Caenorhabditis elegans: one gene and its partners. The protein of the gene in region 1 interacts with the protein of each later gene in a pairwise test. Each region holds a gene or a part of one and is shown in the gene's direction. Other genes may lie near its edges.

Region 1 (4,389 bases):
AATTTCATCAACAGTATCAGCCATACAACATCCTCCAGCGCCAGAAGCTTCGACACTTTTTGAAGCCAATGGAGGTGTAGTTTCATGATGATGATGATCATGTCCGTGACCATGTCCATGTCCATGAGCAAATGATGGAATTATCATAATAACGACTTCTTCGAGAAAGAAGATAAGAAAGAATCCGAGACAAGATAAAAGTTCTCCGACTGGATAATCGATACGAAAATTATGAACTGTATCGAGGGTTTCAAGATTTTCACGAAGTTCTGGGAAAAGATGAAGGAAACACGTGGCAAGAAAGACTCCTGAAAAATTATAAAACTAATAAAATATTTTAAAACATTTCCGAACCTCCAGAAAAGCATGTCAAAAGGCAGAGAACAAGGGAAACGTGTTTGTGTTTTGATGAGCTCTGAGCTGTCGCTGCTTCATGCCGTAATTTGTGAAGTACCTGAAAAACATTAGTGAAATATTAATACACAAATCTCAATAATTTCTCACTTTTAATGGCGATAATCCAACGATAACTGTGAGCGAAAACATTACAAACATTAACACCAATTTCAGTATTGCTTCGTTCATTTTGTTTTCTGGAAAAAAAACTAAAATAAAAGTTATGCACGAAAAAGTTGGCAACGGGGCGGTCCGGAGGGTGCAGCTGATAAGAATAATTGATAACAGTGTGCTTTGTTCTAGTTTTCAAAGAAAAGTATATAAAAGCGGAAGGGAAATGAGAGAACGCGCGAGAATTCAGTTAAACCAGAAGAATTATTGTTGATATCGATTAGAAGATAATGTAGAATCAGAAATAGTGTGAATAGCGGTTTCAATAATAAAAATAACAATAAAACCAACGGCTATCGAATGTAAATATTTGTATTTGTATTTTAAAAAATCATTTATAATCTAAAGAAAGAAGAAAATTCTTTAAATTTAACGCCAAATTCGGCATAAGGCTGTGCAAAGATGTGCCTTTAGGCCTGCGGGGTGAGGCCTGAATCTCGCAACGACACTCCGAAATAACGCAGACGCGTGCTGTTTAGCAAAAAACAGTTTCAATGACGATTTTTGAATTTTAACCTTAACTTAAATAATTACCCGTTTTCCTTCGAAGTTTCTTTCGTTAAAATGCTAATTTTGGATGTTGTTCATGATGCACTTCATTTCGAATCATCCTAACGTAATTTAAACTCAAAGAAAAATCATAACACTCAGAATATGCTATGAAACGAATAACGGTAGAAGGTTATTGAATAGTCCCACTAGTTTCATTGAAATAGCTTTCATAAGTATTAGGAAATGCATTATTTTGTTCTTTCGATAGTGTTCGATGGTATTACTACAGAAATGTTCATTTTAAAGTTGTCTTCTACGATCGGTAAAAACTGACGATTAACGCGTTTGTTTACAATTGTTTTAATGTTTTAGTTTTAAAGTTTTAAAAACGATTAGGAGTTTTTCATTTTTATTTACACTCATTTTTCTCCTCTCAGCCCTCATTTATCCGACTTGGCGTGTTAAGTCATGTCTCGAATTTTTATAGGTTTTCTCTCTGTATGATTCCGTCTCGGCGACAGCGATACTTTCGCCCGAACTCACCGCCAGTGACATCATCTTCTTCCGGAGCAGGAAGCAGTCACCAGACTATGAATCCATCGAATATGAATGTTTTAGAGCAGGCCGAATTAGTTATCGATGGAGGTGATCCAGGTAATATTTACGAGTTTTATTTACCACCTTTGCAAACACAGCTTTTCGACTTTTTGCATGAGGTATATTAAATTCAAATTTTCCAGGGGATGAACAACAAGTTGCCCATGAAGAAATTGTAGACGACGGTTCGACTGAAATGGTTGTTGATCACCATCATCATCCACAACTTCGTGGTAATCCAATGCATCATCATCACTATGATAACCGTCAATCAGCTCCTGCTTATCAAGTTCCACAACAACAATCTCAATCAATTCGTAGAGGAGTTGGCCGTCCGATGGCTCCTCGTCCACAAAGTTACCCACATAATATGGATATGGTTCAGAAATTGCAAAATAAAAATGTCTATATGCCAGCTCAGCAGAGACCTCAGACAAGAATTTCTCCAGCCGGCGCGAGAATTGTCAGCTTTGCTGGAAGAAAACGAGATAATTCTGATGGGCTTCCTCCAGGTGTAAAGGTAATTTTTTTGGTCGAGATATTAAATTTATTAATATTCCTTTTCAGAAAATGAACATGCCCGCAGCTCGCCCACATCAGCAGCAAACTCAACAACAATCTCATCTGCAGCAAGGTCAACAATCACAGAAAAATCTGCAACCTGTCAAAGTAGTTCGTCTGGCTTCAAGTGTGGCTCGTGCAAATCCGACAGCATCCGAACATGCTCTTATCGAAATCGAGAATAATATCAAACAAACAATAGAAGATGCAAAAGTCGATACTGAGAGATTAAGAGAATTACAAGAAGCTGACTTCTCACAGGATGAATATCATCAATATCTTGGAATGTTGATTATGGATCTGGAAAGATCAAATGAGGCGAACTCGACTCTGACAACATATTATCGCGAACGACAACGACATGAAAAGACTATTTCGGAAGCCAGAGAAAATGCATTTTCAGCTAGAATTCGTCAGTTGGAGACTGAAAATCGAAAATTGAGGGATTCGATTCATGTGATGTATTATGGAAAGTTCAATGAGGCTGGAGGTCATAACAATATTTATCGAAATGATCATATGGTAATTTTCAGTTAAATTACATTTTATTAAATATGAATTACAATATGTTTTTTTACAACTTTCAAAATTGATAAAACAATAAAAATAAGATATCCCTTTTGCAAACATTTATTGGATTTCAGGGTCAAATGATGGTTGAAGAGCCCGAAGAGCATGTTGTTATTGAAGGACACGTGGGCAATAATCAAGAAGGAGTACGTTTTAAAAAAAAGTCTATTATACAAAAAAAAGAGCTTCAATGTTTTGAAATGCAGAATAAAATCTTGAACCTGTAAATTATTTTCTCAAAGCTATGTAAACGGAAAACCAATGACTGAGAACTGAAATTCCATTTTTATTACTAATTTATCTTAAAAGTACACCTTCTGGGGAAATGCAGTCGAAACTCTCCAAAAAACTTAACTGCTTTGTCATCGAGCAAATTTGGAAGAAAGTTTGAATTATTAATTTATAGTGAAATTACGAATTTAGTAAACATCTTGGTTTTTTTAAACTTATCAAAATGTTCGATTTTGTTTCTAAACAATAATAAAAAAGTTCGTAATAATAATAATAATTTATTTTAGGAAGAAGTTCCACAAGAGTGGATTGTCGAGGAGACTGTTGATGAACATCGAATGCATTTGGAAGGAATGGAAGCAGATGATCATATGGTTGAGGATCAACAACAACAGGATGAAGAACATGAAGATGTTAAAGATAAAAACTTGCTCGCTGGTGGAAGTGGAAGATCTGGATGAAATTTTTAACTTTTTATCTGGAAACCTGATTAATTTATTCGTTTCATCCTCTCTTTCATTCATCTATATTCTTCTGTTGTTAAATTATTCCTTTATGCCTACCGGAATCGCAAACTAATCAAAACAGACTAAACTTTACGAAACTACGGTCAAAAACTGTCACATTGCGTTCCAAATATTATTTATGTTTCCAATCCCAAATTTTGAAAATTAATTTACAAAATTCTCGGGTCTTATCGATTTCATCACTTTTCTGTTTAACTTTCCAATTTTTAAAATTTACAATTCTTTTTAATCTCACCTTAAGCTCCACAGGATCCCATTTTCATTCTTGATTATCAAATTAACATCTCTAGAAGGCAGGCCCTTCTTTCTTCCCACCCCCCCCCCCCCCCCCCCCACCTCTCTCATTATTCCCAGAACTAGTTTAAGAGCATTTTAAGCTACACTTTGAAATATCCAATACAAAATAAAGTTATAGTTTGAAATTTTTTATTCTGATGAATCTGTTGATATTTCCTGTTTAATACAGGTTCTGTACCTAAAAAGGATTACCGAAGATAGTAAATTCAAAATATTGTTTTGTAGAAAAATAAAATGACGGGAGGTTTAATTGTTGCCGGTTTGGGTCTCGCTGCAGTCGGATTTGGAGCTCGATATGTCCTTCGAAATCAGGCGCTTATTAAAAAAGGAATGGAGGCGATTCCAGTTGCTGGTGGAGCTGTTAGTGTTTATTTTTTGAAAGTTTTAATTTAAAAATGCCAAATTTCAGTTTAGCAACTATTATCGTGGAGGTTTCGATCAAAAGATGTCACGAGCCGAAGCAGCGAAAATTTTGGGCGTTGCGCCGTCAGCAAAACCGGCGAAAATTAAGGAAGCTCATAAAAAAGTCATGATTGTAAATCATCCA
Region 2 (4,573 bases), on another chromosome or scaffold:
CTCGAATAGCTGCAATGGCTGACGAGGACTTTACACATCCTGTTAAAGGAGCTGTCGCGCCAATTTATGATGAAAATTATAGTAGGGACGATGGTGCAATTGATAGATTCCCAGCTTCGACAGCTACTCCAGTGTTTGCGCAGCCGTCTGAAATTGAACTTTCTGAAGAAGAGCGTGAACATATTTCCAGAATCGCTGCAATGGCTGAAGAAGATTTTAATACACCATACGTTTCAACACATCCAACACAGCAAATTGAAATAGAACTAACGGAAGAAGAAAAAGAACATATTGCAAGGATCGAGGCGATGGCTTCCGAAGATTTAAATGCGCCATCTCCCTTTATCCAACAAGAGCAACGAGTTGCGACAATGCCAGTGCCAATTAATTATCATGTTGAAGAACCAACTCTATCGCAAGAAGAAATTGATCACATTGCAAGAATAACAGCTATGGCTACTGAAGATAACACTGATCTACAAACTCTACCAACTCCTCAAGTTAAACAAAATGAACCGGAGCTCTCCCAAGAAGAAATAGATCACATTACTCGAATAGCTGCAATGGCAAATGAAGACTTTGGAATGTATCCTTCAATTGTTTCTGAACATCCTGCTCCAGTTGAATCTGAACTTACTCAAGAAGAACTTGATCATATCGCTAAGATCACAGGAATGGCATCTATGGACATCAGTACTCTACCACCTCCAACAGGAAAACCATCCGAGACATCACTTACTCAGGAAGAACTTGATCATATTGCTCGCATAGCTGAAATGGCATCAGCAGAATATGATGTTCCTGTAAAAATATTCGAACCACCAGAACTAACTCAAGAGGAACTTGATCATATAGCAAAGATTACTGCAATGGCTGCACAAGATGTCCAACTTCCTGCCACCCAAAGATCGATTACTCATAAGGTTTCGTTGACTCCACCTCCTCCTCCTCCTTCTAAACACTTTGAGCAAGATCTCACTCAAGAAGAGCTTGACCATATTGCAAGAATTGCTGAGATGGCTGATATGGATTATAACACTCCATTCACTGCTGAACCAGTTCAAGATGAAGAAGAAGAACCAATAACAGAAAGTGGATCAGATGCAACATCAGGTGCTGATATATTCGATGAACAAGAAGATGCAAGTTCAGGCGCCAGCGGCTCCTTCGATAACAACAATGCTCAAGTGCTAACGAGCGGCTTCTCTCCAGATCGAGTTACATCTCCTGCTGCACTTGACACAACTGAAGAGCCCCAGGGTCCTATTATGGCTCAGAAGGTGAGAAATAGACGTTGTTTTTTGTGTGCGAGCTGTTTCTATTTTCCCAGCCATAAATACTTTTTTTTCACATTCACCATGTTGCTATGCATGCCGTGGCAATGCAACGGTGTCATTAAATATTATGCAGATAGCGTGACAACTCCCAGATTTTCAACTTTTCCCCTTTTTTGACTACTAAACACTACTATCCAACAGGATTTTATGATTTTCAGACTGTGTCTCCGACGCCATCAGCAGATTCGATGGCGTCACGGAAGAGTAGTGAATACGACATTAGAAGTATATCAGAGATTAGGCAAGAGTCCGAGTCGGATATCGGAAAGTGGTATGCTGAATTTTTAATAAACCTTTTTTTTTCTTTTTGAAAATTAGTGTTTCAATTTTACTATTTTGTTCAGGTATGAGGAGCAACTCAGTTTCATGCGACAATCGATCCACGATGAGGAAGAAGATGTGGGGCGTAAGTGGTTTAAAAAAAAAACTTTTATGCGCTTCAGTGTAGGTACACAGAGGCCTACTCACCTACCTAGTATAATTTGCTAAAACAAATTCTACTCGACAAGAGAATTTCTACAGCAAAGAAAGCAAAAGCTAGATAAAATGTTATCAAAAATATTTTACAAGAGTGTTTAATTAATTCTTAATTCTACAAAAAACAATTCTAATTGCAATCAGCAGACTTTTATCTGAACTTTCAAAATTTTCCACTATCCACTCTGTTTTTGACTCAGAAAAACGTCCAAATAAAAGAAATGACTGAATATAATTTCATTAGACCTATGTAATACAAATATTACATTTTTCTTCTCTATTTACTTTTTTATTTTTGAAATTTCAGATGAAATTCGAACTGACGTTGAAGAGTTCCCATTGGAGTATGTTGAGGATCAACTTCACTTCCTTGAAGGTGAGTTTTCTGTCAAAAATGAAAAATTCATAGCACAAATCAAAAAGCGAGACGAAGAGACCAAATCTCAAAGCAAAAAAACATATATTTGCAGGTATTGACGTAGAGAGCCAACACCATGAGCCCACCACTTCTTCTGCCTTCTTTGGCACCGGAAGATCGATTGGTGAAGGGGAAAAGAGAAAATATGGTGACGACGCCGTGGAGCAGCAAAAACTGGAGAACTACGAAGAGGAGGAGAAGACGAAGAGTAGTAGTCGTGAGGCTTTTGATGATGGATTTGAGACGCAGAGAGAAGAGTCGTTGAGGGCGCAGCAGACACCCATCGATTCACTGCCGGGTAGTCGTATGTTGAAGCGACCCAATTTCGGCTTCCTTTCTAATATTGCAAATGATGCTATTAATAAGGTAAGTAATTGAATATTCACTATGACCTATCAGACTTCACCGTTTGAAAAAAGACCATGAACAAAAAACTAAAACTCAAAAGACTACGTTTTTGAAACTGTAAATGCGCGAAGCTATTCAAAATATTTTCAGTCACTATAGAAATTGTTATTTTTTTTAGAGCTGTTTGACTGAAAATAAATAATTGTCCAAAATTGTTTGACAGGTTTTATTATGATATTTGGTATGGATATTTGAAATGATTTTCCAATAATGTAGAACATATTATGTTGCAACAATTTGTTTTTTTCTGTTATATTCAAATTTACTGTTTTCTAGAAAAAAAACATAGAAATTATGTTAACATCTAAGAAACTCTTCAATCAGCATTTTTTCTTAAAAATAACTAACTTTTACATGCAACATTTTGAGAATATGAGTAGTTTTTTATACACACAAATTTATATATTACATGAATTCATTTTCAAAAAAAAAAAACCATTTCAATGTCAGTATACAAAACCAATTTCGCAGTGTCTTTGACTCTCCAAGAGCAGCTACGATGGGCTCGTTACTCACGGAATTCGACTTTCCGGTCTTTCCAAAATAACGCAAATGTGTTGTTCCCTCATCCAACAAACACTATACAATCATTTGTTCTTCCTTTTTTCTTTTTTTTTTTTAGCGGTCACACATACACCATTCCAAAAGATGTACCCATCGTTTTGGTCTATTTTCCACTTTTTTATGTTTTGTTGTATGTGTCGCTTATGCATAAATGTAGGGTGTGCAACAAAAAGAAACACTTTAGGATTCGGCTCGGGGGACCCCCATGCCTCATTAATTTTTTGCGAGAAGACATGCGTGTGCTCTTCTCTCCTTGTCACTTTCGATAATTGCTCTTTTTGCAGGCAAAGGAAGCGGGTTCGCAAATCCAAGCCGCCGTACCCATCAAGGTGAGTGAACTTTTTTCTTTTTATTCTCTTTCCGTAGGGCTTCCGACCCAATTCAATTATGGTAACACGATTTTGATCTAGATCTCATGACTAAACGCTCACGAGTTTTTCACTTGATTGATTACTTTTTTTTGAGAAACTGCTTTTGGTATTAATATTATAAACAAACAATTAACTAATTCACAAAACGGCTAATGTTTTTAAACATTACTTCTGTAAATTAATTTTTTTGAAATAAATTAAATAACCTCAAAATAATAAAAACTTTTCAGCCATCCTCTTCATCATCAAATATTGTCAACAACAATGTCTTCTCTAGCAGGTAATTGATATTTTGTCAAGTCAACTATAAAAAAAACAATTTCAGCAAATCCTCAACCTCCCTAGGCACCAGTGCTCCAACCAAATCTATTCCGTAAGTAACATAAAACATTCCCAGTATATCAGATTACTCCCCGCACGTACACTTTTCTACCTCCCCTCTTCTTTTTTCTTTTGATTTTCATTTCCTAAATGGTTAATTTTGAAATTACAGCTCTCCACAAATCGGTATTCCGATGGATGGTCTTTCCGAAGAAGAACGTCGACAAATCATGTCAGTTATGGCTGCAGCCGACTTTGACGATTCTGTTAATAATGTAAAACCAAGCACAAGTGGTTCATCAAATATTCCAGCAGGAATGGAGGATCTTTCGGAAGCAGAAAGAGAAAAGATCATGTCAGTTATGGCAAATGCAGAAATGGAGATGGGCGCACGTTTCCCTCCTCCTTCAAGTCAAATTCCAACAAGATCTCCCAGTGTTATGAGTTCAAGTATAATGTCCGAATTACCACCTGGACTCGATGATTTGTCAGATGATGAAAGAATGAAAATTATGGCAGTTATGGCAGAAGCTGATATGCAGAATGTGCGAAAACCCATTGCAAGAGGCCCACCACCAATGCCACCAAGGTTAGTTAGCCGACAATGAGACACCAAAATTTTAAGATTATGAAACACAATGAATGCTTCAAATTTCACTGAAATTATTTCTGGGAAT
Region 3 (4,731 bases), on another chromosome or scaffold:
CTTATTTCGCAAGCCTCGCACGCTTTTTCTCTTGAAAAGAAAACGCGCGAGGCTTGCGAAGTAAGCGTGCGGCGGTTGCGAATTCCTCCAAATTTCCGGCAAAAGTCCTGAAAAATGTAGATTAAATTCAATAATTTTTTTCAGAACAGTACGGAATTTCAGGCCTTACTTTCGGGCCTTCCGGCTTCTTCTCCTTCTTCTTCGGAGCCAAATCCTCCGCAGTCTTCGGTCCGAGCAGCTCCAAGAATCTCAAATCCACCTCCTTCTTCGTAATCGCACCATCAGCCCATGGAAGCAGAGCTCGTAGCTCGCCGAGCAACTTTCCGGCCGGGAACGAGTACCGCTCGGCGACGATTTTCTCGCGGTGTTGGCCAATCACCTTGGTAACGGCCGCTTCGATGTCGTCGATTGTGACAACAACGCCGACTCCGCATGATTTCTCGAAATCAGGCACTTGGATACCTTTAACGGTGTGCGAGAGAAGATACTCGATCGCTGCGGAGAGCTGAAATTTTTTTGAAATTTGGAAATTTAGCTGTTTTTTTTTTAATTTGAAATTTAATTTTAATTACAAACCTGTGGCTCTGTCTTAATCCCGTCATTCATAATATACTTGACAACTAGTGGAGTGTGAGCAGCGACTTGTGGCTTCAACTTTGTCGCCAACTGGTACAAAAGTGTTCCTTTTTGCTTGGAAATCTCGCCAGACTCGCTCGCAAGCTTCACAATTGAACCGATCGTTTCGGTGAGCTTCACATTTTTCAGCGTTTCAGCTACTTTTGAATCAGAGAGGCCCAAAGAGAGAAGCTCCTCCTTTGTTGCCATTTTTACCCTGGAAAATTTGTGAATTTTTTTGAATAATTTGAAGTTAGAAAGTGGAGAAGCGGAAGAAAATTCTAGAAAATAAATGTTTTTAAAGAAAGTCCAGTTTTCCGTTTTCTGAGTTTCGCGGAAAGTTGCAATCTATAGAAAAACTGAAAAAAAAGCAAATCGCTTCCTGAAACAGCCTAAAAAACCTTGAAAATACAAAATTTAGGGAGAATTTAGAAGATTTTTCGTCGAATCTCGGGAAAATCTTGAATAATTGAGTGAGAAAACAGTTTTTACAATAAGGAATTATGATAAAGTTGCAAACATCTGGAGAAATTCCAAATTTCTTGATTTTAGCCGAATAACCCTAAATTTTTCAGTTTTTTCCGAGTTTTTCGCGGGATTTGAGTTTAAATACAATATTTCTATATTTTTAATCAAATTTTTAGCCTCAAATCTGGAAAAAATAATTTTAAAAAAGCCAAAAAACCACTGGAAAACTTTTAAAATAGGCTTTTCCTTGCTAATTGCAGCTGAAAACTGCAAAAGTGTGCATTTTCGCGTGCCGGTGTTTACACACAAAACATCACAAAATGGTGTGCCACATCGGATCCACGTTCATTTTTTTCAGCGTTGTTCTTCGTGTTTTTGCATTAAAAAGTTCTGAAAATCTGGATTTTTTATTGATTTTTACTTCGAATTGTGATCTTTAATCTAATTTCTATGGATTTTATACCGAAAATGTCGAAATTACATATGAAAATTGCTAGAAACCGGCTGCAATTCTCATTTTCTGATTTTTATCTGATTTTCTTTCCAGTTTCCCCTTGATTTTTATTGCGCTCTGGCATTTTAAAAATCAATTTTCGCACATTTTCAGAGATGGCCGACGAGAACCACGTCCGTCTAAGCGAGGTTCAACTGATTCAGTCGGAATTCGGACATTCTCTCGAGGAATGCTACAAGCTTGCCGTTCAATATTATAAAAAAGGTATTTTTTGATTTAAAAATTCTTTTTAAAAAATGAGTTTTTTTCCAGAACACGTCGGGAAACAGGAGCCTGTTGGATATGAAGATCGCATTAAATTGCTCTCGTTGAGCAAACAAGTGAAAATTCCAGTTTTAAAATCAAAAATTAAATAAAAATTAAATTCCAGGTCCAACATGGAGAGATTTCCGATGAATTTGACAACGCTGGATGGCTAGATATCACTGGAAACGATGTGAAGTGGGTGATTTTCAATCAAAATTCTAACAAAAAAAAAGAAAACACTCTATTCCTTTTCCAATTTCCCCCCACACCCTCATTTCTCGAAAATGATGAACAAAATTGGAGAAAAAAAAGAAGAAGGACACACGAAGACGCAATCTCCAAAAAATTTCATTTTGTTTTTCATTTCCTATTCTATTCCAGGATAGAAATCTCGGAGAATTGGCAACTTTTCTTCTGATTTAATTAATTTTTAGCGGTTTTTCTTCAGAAATTTGATCAAAAATTGAATCGATCCGTGAATTTTGCACAGAAAAAGAGGCGGGGCGTAATTTTGCAACCCTGTGGCACCGTTTTTTAATGTCGATTTTACTAGTTTTATTCTTTTTTTATCGAATTAAAAGGTTATCCAATTAAATTCTAGTAATTAATTTAATCTGAATATCCTTATAATCTTATGAGAATTAAATTTTATAACATTTTAATTCGAAAAAAAGATAATATGACAAGTAAAATCGGCATTTTATTGAAAAAAATCAACAAAAAGTGGAAAACGAGCTCCAAAAAAGAGAGAAAACGCTGGTTTTCTGGCGAAATTCACAATTCTTCCACGCAAAACTATGTAGCTGAAAATTTCAGAAAGTTGGAAAAAAAATCCAATTTTATAATTTTTTTACAGTTTTTTTTTACAAATTCAGTTTTCTAGGCTTCTCTTCTGGCGCCCTCAAGCCATTCTCAAACTTTAAATGAATTTTCCAAAATTTTAGGCTAAAATCCTCCAATTTTAGTGCCTTCTCCTCTGAAATTAAGCAGCAAATCTGAAAAAGCTGTCAAAATAACCTATTTTATGGCAATTTTGCACCTCAAATAGAGCCGTTTTCAGCGATTTTTCGAACTTTGTTGCTCGTCAGTACAAATTCGTGTTCCTCCTCCTGCTCCACCACTCGCCGTCTTGTTTCGTCTAATCCATTTGGGACGTTTATACGTGTTTTGTGTGTCCCGGCGGCTTCTTCCTTCACTTTTGCTACTAGAAATTATTTCTCTTTGAAACCTCTGTCCGAAATATATTTTTTTTTGCTGGACGCCTTCTTTAGAACCTTTTCAAGTGTGGCCAATTATCGTAAAAGCAGGCGGTGTGCAAATTTGATTTTCGAGAGAGAAGGAATGTTCAATGTCTACCAGTTATTTTGGCTTTTTCCAAGGATTCGTTCAGTTCTTTGACGAATAACAGCCCCACGGGGTTCTGGCCTTCCTCATTGAATTTTTCGCGCTCCATTGACAATCGCTCGCCGGACTCCACACGGACAAATACATTTACATAGTTTTTCAACTAAAATCGAGCCGCGACGCGACACGCAACGCGCCGTAAATCTACCCCCGAGCCAAAATGACCTAGTTCGGCAAACTCTTCCATTTCAAGTTATGAGGGAAGCCAGAAAACCGTGGCAGCCCGAAAGGTCTTCTACTTTTGATGCTCTCGGAGCTCTGAGCCAAAAAGCCCCAAATATGGATACAAATCCATCATGAGCTCACCTCATAAGAGCCGGCTCTCCTAATACTCATCAGTCATTTTGTATTCTTTCCTAAAGAGATAGACATACATGTTTTCAAAAAAGAAAAGAAGTTTTTGTCGAGAATTCGTCACAAATTGATTTTCAGCCTCTTTTGTCGACGAAAATTTCAGCTACACCCACCAATTTGGCTCTCCTCCTCCTCCTGCTCAAGAGGAGCAACACTGAAATCTCTGGAGAATTGGGTGGCTTCTTCCTCTCCTTTCATTCCTTTTTGCCCTATTTCTCTCGTTTTTCCGTCTGTTAAAAAGTTGACGGCACATCCTTCTGTTTTGTTACTTTGTTGTTTTCGAGGCGGTTTCACAATTGTCTACGGTATTTCCTGATTACGGAACTTTTTTCTGCGTGCGGATTCTGAGTTTTTCACGGGGTTCTGGCCCAGATATGGCAGAGCCAAAATGGCCTAGCTCGGCAAACTCTTTCATTTAAATTTATGAGAGGAAGCCAGAAACCACGCGACGCCAGACTGTCCCATCACGATTTGATCTACAAAAAATGCGGAAAATTTTTTCCTCTAAAAATTGTGACGTCAGAACGATCTCAACCATGTGAAATCAGAAGAGATGTCTGCGTCTCAACTCCCGCATTTTTTGAAGATCAAATCGGAATAAGACTTTTCGGACTCCATGCGGTGCACCCGTAACGTGACTGAGATCGTGGCAAGACCCACTTATCATGTCAAATTTTCGGGAAAATGTCCTACCGTACTTACTTGAAGGAAGAACCTCTCATCAACATTCTACAACCAAAATGTAGTCCTCATTGCAAGAAGAAATACGTCATATTTCTCTGTCTATCTACATTCCAGTACTTGTGTCTGATAATCAGGAAGTGCTGATATCCATTCCGTGTTTTTCTCATGACACTTGCTTTTTTTTGAAGAGAAGTCACCTTCGCCCTCCAGCAAAATTTAAGGTTTTCCCACGAGGATATCCAGCGTTTCCTCGTGTTTCTTTAGTAGTAGTTCACTTTTTTTCTGGTTTTGTTTTCGTTGGATTGCTTTCCTTTGTGGAAAATCAAATTTTCTACCGAAATTTGTGTGGGGATTCTCTCGCTACTCTGGTCTGTTCTTCTGACTCACGTTTTCCGTTTCTTTCCATCCAAGAGACGTACAAAAGTAGTAAGAGTAAACACACAGAC

The links. Proteins that work in one complex are often made in the same cells at the same time.
Region 2: the proteins of T19B4.5 (region 1) and cla-1 interact in a two-hybrid assay, tested with the Caenorhabditis elegans proteins (one large-scale study listed by BioGRID).
Region 3: the proteins of T19B4.5 (region 1) and Y41E3.7 interact in a two-hybrid assay, tested with the Caenorhabditis elegans proteins (one large-scale study listed by BioGRID).

The regions. Positions count from the first base shown.
Region 1 is NC_003279.8:5,672,760-5,677,148, forward strand, and holds T19B4.5 (uncharacterized protein), read left to right. Parts: upstream 1-1,544; 5' UTR 1,545-1,649; coding exon 1,650-1,713; intron 1,714-1,799; coding exon 1,800-2,176; intron 2,177-2,223; coding exon 2,224-2,739; intron 2,740-2,861; coding exon 2,862-2,933; intron 2,934-3,305; coding exon 3,306-3,479; 3' UTR 3,480-3,850; downstream 3,851-4,389. Other genes in the region: zipt-2.4 (Zinc transporter ZIP3), read right to left, coding at 1-308, 355-454, 505-585; dnj-21 (Mitochondrial import inner membrane translocase subunit TIM14), read left to right, coding at 4,077-4,202, 4,252-4,389.
Region 2 is NC_003282.8:7,609,155-7,613,727, forward strand, and holds the start of cla-1 (Protein clarinet), read left to right. Parts: upstream 1-1,525; coding exon 1,526-1,608; intron 1,609-1,681; coding exon 1,682-1,743; intron 1,744-2,121; coding exon 2,122-2,190; intron 2,191-2,284; coding exon 2,285-2,598; intron 2,599-3,488; coding exon 3,489-3,533; intron 3,534-3,805; coding exon 3,806-3,855; intron 3,856-3,900; coding exon 3,901-3,948; intron 3,949-4,068; coding exon 4,069-4,485; intron 4,486-4,573. UniProt on the Caenorhabditis elegans protein: Required for synapse development in the active zone of presynaptic terminals of specific neurons including serotonergic NSM neurons.
Region 3 is NC_003282.8:15,012,352-15,017,082, forward strand, and holds the start of Y41E3.7 (Golgi resident protein GCP60), read left to right. Parts: upstream 1-1,683; 5' UTR 1,684-1,692; coding exon 1,693-1,801; intron 1,802-1,849; coding exon 1,850-1,917; intron 1,918-1,967; coding exon 1,968-2,038; intron 2,039-2,903; coding exon of another isoform or gene 2,904-2,985; exon of another isoform or gene 2,986-3,145; intron 3,146-4,731. Other genes in the region: qars-1 (putative glutamine--tRNA ligase), read right to left, coding at 170-505, 577-825.